Linked DNA regions of Stegostoma tigrinum. The protein of the gene in region 1 purifies or fractionates together with the protein of each later gene. This does not show direct contact. Links are inferred from orthologs where the notes say so. Each region holds a gene or a part of one and is shown on either strand. Other genes may lie near its edges.

Evidence for each region. Proteins that work in one complex are often made in the same cells at the same time.
Region 2: the proteins of osbpl8 (region 1) and glg1a purify together in Homo sapiens (co-immunoprecipitation; 3 studies listed by BioGRID and IntAct, with this or other methods). This does not show direct contact. The link is inferred for Stegostoma tigrinum from reciprocal best matches to the Homo sapiens genes OSBPL8 and GLG1.

What each region holds. Positions count from the first base shown.
Region 1 is NC_081371.1:62,918,410-62,922,159, forward strand, and holds the start of osbpl8 (oxysterol-binding protein-related protein 8), read left to right. Parts: upstream 1-1,361; 5' UTR 1,362-1,468; exon of another isoform or gene 1,469-1,476; intron 1,477-3,750. UniProt on the Homo sapiens protein: Lipid transporter involved in lipid countertransport between the endoplasmic reticulum and the plasma membrane: specifically exchanges phosphatidylserine with phosphatidylinositol 4-phosphate (PI4P), delivering phosphatidylserine to the plasma membrane in exchange for PI4P, which is degraded by the SAC1/SACM1L phosphatase in the endoplasmic reticulum.
Region 2 is NC_081369.1:11,881,100-11,884,849, forward strand, and holds the start of glg1a (Golgi apparatus protein 1), read left to right. Parts: upstream 1-848; 5' UTR 849-873; coding exon 874-1,269; intron 1,270-3,750. UniProt on the Homo sapiens protein: Binds fibroblast growth factor and E-selectin (cell-adhesion lectin on endothelial cells mediating the binding of neutrophils).

The sequences.
Region 1 (3,750 bases):
TCTGAAACCTCATGGCATGGCATATTCCCTAAACAACCATTAACATCAATCCAGAGAATCAACCCTGGTTCAACGGAGACTGCAGGAGGATATGCCAGGAGCAGCACCAGGCATACCTGAAGTATACCTGAAGTATTAGATGACATGTCCATCATGGGCCTCCTGCACTGCCACAATGATGCCACCGAAGGTTGCAGGAACAGCAACTCATATTCCGCCTGGGAACCCTGCAGCCATATGGTATCAATGTGGACTTCACCAGTTTCAAAATCTCCCCTTCCCCAACTGCATCCCTAAACCAGCCCAGTTCGTCCCCTCCCCCCACAGCACCACACAACCAGCCCAGCTCCTCCACTCCACCCACTGCATCCCAAAACCAGTCCAACCTGTCTCCGCCTCCCTAACCTGTTCTTCCTCTCACCCATCCCTTCCTCCCACCCCAAGCCGCACCCCCATCTACCTACTAACCTCATCCCACCTCCTTGACCTGTCCATCTTCCCTGGACTGACCTATCCCCTCCCTACCTCCCCACCTATACTCTCTCCACCTATCTTCTTTTCTCTCCATCTTCGGTCCGCCTCCCCCTCTCTCCCTATTTATTCCAGTTCCCTCACCCCATCCCCCTCTCTGATGAAGTGTCTAGGACCGAAACGTCAGCTTTTGTGCTCCTGAGATGCAGCTTGGCCTGCTGTGTTCATCCAGGCTCGCATTTTGTTGTCTTGGATTCTCCAGCATCTGCAGTTCCCATTATCTCTGATACCTGAAGTATCAACCTGGTAAAGCCATATTGGATTTGAAACACTTCCAATGTAATTTTTTGTTTTATCCTCTGTGACTGCCTTTTTGGTGTCTATCAAGACCAGTATTTGAGGGAATGACACCAGCAGACCGCAACCTCATCCTGACCCCCAAACAGAAGACCGTAAGATCGCAGAGTAGGCCATTTGGCCCATTGAGTCTGTTGTGCTAAACAATCATGACTAATAGGTTTGTCAATTCCATTCTCCTGCCTTGTCCCCGCAATCCTCAATCCCCACACCCTGACATTCTCACCCGACCCGAAAGTCTGCCCCACCCTCACGCCCACCTTCACTCTGTCCCTTTCTCGTCTCCCTCATCTCCGTCTCTCATATATTGTTTTTGACATAATTATTTCTCATGCACCCTCAAACCTCGGATGTCTTTCCCAAACATGTTTCAACAAAATACTAAAGTTAACTCCTTCTGGGGGCGGGAGCTCAAGTGCAACGAAAGCGTGCCTGGGAGGACCATGTCAGGATGGGAAGACCAGGCTGCGTGGATCAAGCTGGGGCAGCGCTTGGGACCAGGCTGCTCAATGGATCGTGAGTGAATGATCTGGAATGGGCGGGGTGCGAGATCAGGCGAAACAAGTAGCTGAAGGAGCAACAGAGCAGAGCTCGAGCCGGATCGGAGCGGCCATGGAGTGAGTGAGAAGTGGACGAGGAGGTGAGAAGGTGAGGAGTTGGAGATAGGAGATAGGGGAGAGAGAGAGATATAGATAGATAGATAGATAGGTAGATAGATAGAGACGGCCGGGCGGGTGAAGAGGGGTACTTATCGACTTAGTGAGGGTCCGGGCCGGGTTTCGAGATCGCAGACAGGGGCACCCAGCCCCCGTCGACACCCCCGGAATTCGGGCCGTTAGTCCCTCCTCCCACCCCCCACCCCCCACCCCCCCGTCCATTGCCCCCCCCACCCCCCACCCCCCACCCCCCCGTCCATTGCCCCCCACACCCCACACCCCCGTCCATTGCCCCCCACACCCACCCACCCGCCCGCCCTCTCCCATTGCCCCCCACACCCACCCACCCGCCCCCCCCTCTCCCATTGCCCCCCACACCCACCCACCCGCCCCCCCCTCTCCCATTGCCCCCCACCCCCCCCTCTCCCATTGCCCCCCACCCCCCACCCCCCCGTCCATTGCCCCCCACACCCCCGTCCATTGCCCCCCACACCCCACACCCCCGTCCATTGCCCCCCACACCCACCCACCCGCCCGCCCTCTCCCATTGCCCCCCACACCCACCCACCCGCCCCCCCCTCTCCCATTGCCCCCCACACCCACCCACCCGCCCCCCCCTCTCCCATTGCCCCCCACACCCACCCACCCGCCCCCCCTCTCCCATTGCCCCCCACACCCACCCGCCCCCCCCTCTCCCATTGCCCCCCACACCCACCCACCCGCCCCCCCTCTCCCATTGCCCCCCACACCCACCCACCCGCCCCCCCTCTCCCATTGCCCCCCACACCCACCCGCCCCCCCCTCTCCCATTGCGCCCCACCCCCATTGCGCCCCACCCCCATTGCGCCCCACGCCCGCCCCCCCTTTTGCGCCCCACGCCCGCCCCGCCCCCCCATTGCGCCCCACGCCCGCCCGCCCCGCCCCCCCATTGCGCCCCACGCCCTCACGCCCGCCCCCCCCATTGCGCCTCACGCCCGCCCGCCCCCCCCATTGCGACCCACGCCCGCCCCCCCCATTGTGCCCCACGCCCGCCCGCCCGCCCCCCCATTGCGCCCCACGCCCGCCCGCCCGCCCCCCCATTGCGCCCCACGCCCGCCCGCCCGCCCCCCCCCCCCATTGCGCCCCACGCCCGCCCGCCCGCCCCCCCCATTGCGCCCCACGCCTGCCCGCCCCCCCCCCATTGCGCCCCACGCCTGCCCGCCCCCCCCATTGCGCCCCACGCCTGCCCCCCCATTGCGCCCCACGCCCACCCGCCCCCCCGCCCCCCCGCCCCCCCATTGCGCCCCACGCCCGCCCGCCCTCCCGCCCCCCCATTGCGCCCCACGCCCACCCGCCCGCCCCCCGATTGCGCCCCACGCCCGCGCGCCCCCCCCTTTGCGCCCCCCCCTTTGCGCCCCCCCCTTTGCGCCCGCCCCCCCATTGCGCGCCCCCCCATTGCGCGCCCCCCCATTGCGCGCCCCCCCCATTGCGCGCCCCCCCCATTGCGCGCCCCCCCCATTGCGCGCCCCCCCCCATTGCGCGCCCCCCCCCATTGCGCCCCCCCCATTGCGCCCCCCCCCCATTGCGCGCCCCCCCCATTGCACCGCCCCCCCATTGCGCCCCCCACCCCATTGCGCCCCACTCCCATTGCGCCCCACGCCCGCCCGCCCCTCTCCCATTGCTCCCCACGCCTGCCCGCCCGCCCCTCTCCCATTGCGCCCCACGCCCGCCCCTCTCCCATTGCGCCCCACGCCCGCCCGCCCGCCCCTCTCCCATTGCGCCCCACGCCCGCCCGCCCGCCCCTCTCCCATTGCGCCCCACGCCCGCCCCTCTCCCATTGCGCCCCACGCCCGCCCGCCCCTCTCCCATTGCGCCCCACGCCCGCCCGCCCGCCCCTCTCCCATTGCGCCCCACGCCCACCCCTCTCCCATTGCGCCCCACGCCCGCCCGCCCGCCCCTCTCCCATTGCGCCCCACGCCCGCCCGCCCCTCTCCCATTGCGCCCCACGCCCGCCCGCCCCTCTCCCATTGCGCCCCACGCCCGCCCGCCCGCCCCTCTCCCATTGCGCCCCACGCCCGCCCGCCCGCCCCTCTCCCATTGCGCCCCACGCCCGCCCGCCCGCCCCTCTCCCATTGCGCCCCACGCCCGCCCGCCCGCCCCTCTCCCATTGCGCCCCACGCCCGCCCGCCCGCCCCCTCTCCCATTGCGCCCCACGCCCGCCCGCCCGCCCCTCTCCCATTGCGCCCCACGCCCGCCCGCCCGCCCCTCTCCCATTGCGCCCCACGCC
Region 2 (3,750 bases), on another chromosome or scaffold:
GGCCAAGCAGCATCTCAGGAGCACAAAAGCTGACGTTTCGGGCCTAGGCCCGAAACGTCAGCTTTTGTGCTCCTGAGATGCTGCTTGGCCTGCTGTGTTCATCCAGCCTCACATTTTATTATCACTATAGACAACAACCACTGCTGTGCTTTGATCAATCTTCTTTGTTGCTTCAAAAAACTCAATCAATTAGCAGGACATGATTTCCCATGCACAAAACTATGTTGGCTATCCATAATCAGCCTTTAGCAGGTCCTTAGTGACTCCACACCAATAGTTGTATGTACAGTTCTGGTTTCCCTGCCTAAGGAAGGACATACTTTAACCTTAGAGGGAGCACAGTGGAAATTCATTTGGCTGGTATTGAGCACAGTAGGTCTGTTCTATGAGGAGACATTGGTTTAACTGGGCCTGTCTTCCCTGGAGGAAAGAAGGGTGAGATGGGACCTGATTGAAACGTATATAATTCTCAAAAGGCCGGACAGATGAGATGCAGGGAGGAGTCTGAGGTAAGTCATACTGCACTTGCAATTTGAACTCTTATTTCTCTCTCCACAGATGTTGCCAGGCCTGCTGAGTTCCTCCAGCATTCTCTTTGGATGTTTAGCGAGGTTGGGAGAGTCTAGAATTAGGATGGATCGGATGACCTCCTTCTGTACTGTAAAAATCGACGTCACTGTCCCATCATGAAGAAAGTGTGGAACTTGCTGCCACAGATACAATGTTGCTGTTGGCTGTATCAATACCAATGGGGGCGGGGAAAAGCCTGTAACGTATGACGTAGACGTGTGGCGTGGAAGACGTCATGTGCGTCATTACGTCACCGCGCCGCTGTTTATAAAAAGGCGGAGAGGCTGCGGCTGCCGTTACAAGATGGCGGCGTGTGGACGTGGGAGTCTGGTGTTGGTGGGGGCACCTTTGAACGGGAGATGGCTGCGGGCCTCGCATTGTCTGCCGGCGGTGGCTCTCACTCTCCTGCTCGCGTGGCACTGTGGGGCCCAGGGAGGATCGGACCGCGTTCGGGACGCGTTGGGCGCGCACAACCAGCCGCAGGATGGCGGCCCCGTGGGACAGGTCGAAGTCCAGGGTCTGCCCCAGGCTCAGTTCCAGGCCCGTCCACAGGGCCAGGCCCAATTCCAGGCCCCGCGGAAGAACATCTGGCGGCTTTCGGAGGACCCGATGTGTCACGAAGACGTGGTCCGTCTCTGCCCCAAACACACCTGGCAGAATAACTTCGCGGTGCTCGAGTGTCTGCAGGACGTGCGGGAGGTAAGCGGCGGTGTCCAGCAGCTTAGGGGTTGGTCACTGGGCTTTTCTGGGGTATCGCACTTGGCTTTGGGTACGATGGTGGTGGTGGTGGAGGAGGGGCACATTGACTGTTGATCCTCGCTCCCCAGCAAACAGACAGGAAACGGCCTGGTTGACAGGAGCTGTTTCTGACCGGCCACTGAAAATCAAATTGGTTTTGATCGCTGGCAGGTTGCTCTGAATAAGGTGAGGGAATAGTTTGTCGGCAGATTATCTCCAAAGTGTGTAGGTGCCCTACGGACAAGTTCTGATTCCGAAACCAGCATTTTTAATTTGCTGGGCAATTTTACTTTATATTGTGCAGTTTTATGTGGAGAGTACCATTTGCGGACAATCAAATGATCACGTCTAAACTTGTTGGTTAGCTTCTGATTTTTTGCGGACTAATATTGGACTCCTGGGAGGAGTCACCAGCCAAACTGAATTCATCTGCAGCCCAATCCTTCGCGTAGTTAGTATCTTAACAGTATAATGGGGCTGTTGGCCTCCTATGGAGGTTAGAGTCTTTAGAAATAAATTTATTTTAAAGTAATTTCAAGTGCAGATGTTTAAAGCTTGACATTCCTCCAGTTAATTGAAATAAATTTCTAGGATGACTCCATATGCCACTGAGTACCAGAGGGATTGGTAAAGACCTGGGGTGTGCCTGTGTAAGTGTATTTGTTCTTTGGCTATAGCACATGGGCACAGTTGATTTTACGACTGTTAGTTTAATTCTGATCTGTCAGAATCCCTTTTCATGTTATTACAATTCACTAATTTTTCAAAATGATCTATCTGTGGTGGTATTAGGATGGAGGAGATTAAAGTACCTCTCAGTGTTGAGAATTGGAATGTTTGTGCTGTATTTGTCAAAACATTGGTGATAGCTGAATGGGTTATGATACCTTGTTTCAGAGAAGGTTAAACAGCAGCTGACAGAAGCCTTATTAAGATGAAAAGTGTAATGATGGTGCACATAGGTGATACTTGCTGTTGTAGTTGAGGTAGAGAAGTGGTTTTGGCCCAGTCCAACTGAATCTATCTGGAAGATGGCTTCATCAATAATTTCAGAGATAGCAAGAGCAACAGATGCTGGAGTCAGAGGAACACAGTATGGAGCTGGAAGGAACACAGGGCCACGCAACATCAGAGGAGCAGAAAAATTGACATTTTGGTGGGGACTCTTCAGAAAAAGGGCCCCATTTTCTGAAGAAGGGTCCTGACCTGAAACCTCAACTTTCCTGCTCCTTTGATGCTGCCTGGCCTGCTGTTTTCCACCAGCTCCATACTCTGTTACCTCTTAATTAATAATTTGTTGTCTCCAGGCTGTGAAATCTAACAACCTGATATATTGCAATGAAAGGTCTGCCAGGAAAGAAAAGGTTAAATTAGGCTGGATAAAACTCTTTTCACTGAGGCAAAAAGAAAGGCTTTAGTTGGAATTTCTGAGTGATGATTTTTAAACACTCTGAACTGCAGGCAAGTCTATACAAAGCTTCTCATTCTAAGCTGTTTATGGGGAACATGTCCATATAGTGAGCTGTGTTTGGGCAAAATCTGCATTGGCAATATGCTGCCTCTTAGTTGGTCTCTTCTAATGAGCTGTACTTGGTAGTAACTCCTGTATTTGCCCTAAATCTTGCAGTATTCTTATACGTTTTACACACTTGTGTAACTCAGCGACTTGGTTGCTCCGTGCTGACTATTGTGTACATTTTAAAATTGATCTTAGCACTTTAGGCCTTCACTGTTCTGTTGAAGTGCTAATAACAGACTGAATCAGTCAGAAAACCACAACAGGCGTATCTTTATGCTTAGTTACGCTGGCATGAGTACAGTGCTCCTGATCCTGACAATGCATCTATATTTATTTTTCTCACTGTACTTTGCTTAGGGCCTTGGTATGAAAGCTGGAACCGTGACAGCAAGAGTCTTTTTTGATGAGGTCAGACAGCATCGTTGGAGAGAGACAGAGTGTATGTTTCACACTGTCCCCTCGTCTGAACCTTTTGCAGCATTTTTTGTTCTATATTCAGATTGCCAGCATCTGTGATATTTTGTTTTTGCTTTTTTATTGATCTTTGACATTCTGCTCACAAGTACTAGCAGGGAGTCAAGTGCTCATAAATTTTAGCACAGTACCATCCACAATATGCCCTGCAGAAATTAACAGAAGGCTCCTTCGACAGCACCTTCCTAATCCACGACCACTTCTATCCAGAATGACAAGGGCAGCAGGTATGTGGGAATGCCACCACCTGCAAGTTCCCCTCCAAGCCACTATCCATTATGACTTCGAAATATGACTGTTCCTTCACTGTCACTGGTTCAAAATCCTGGCATTCCCTCACTAAGTGCATTGTGGGTTAACCTACAGCATGTGGATTGCAGCAGTTTAAGAAGGCGGCTTACCACCACCTTCACAGTTGCTGTTAGGGATGGGCAATAAATGCTGGCCAG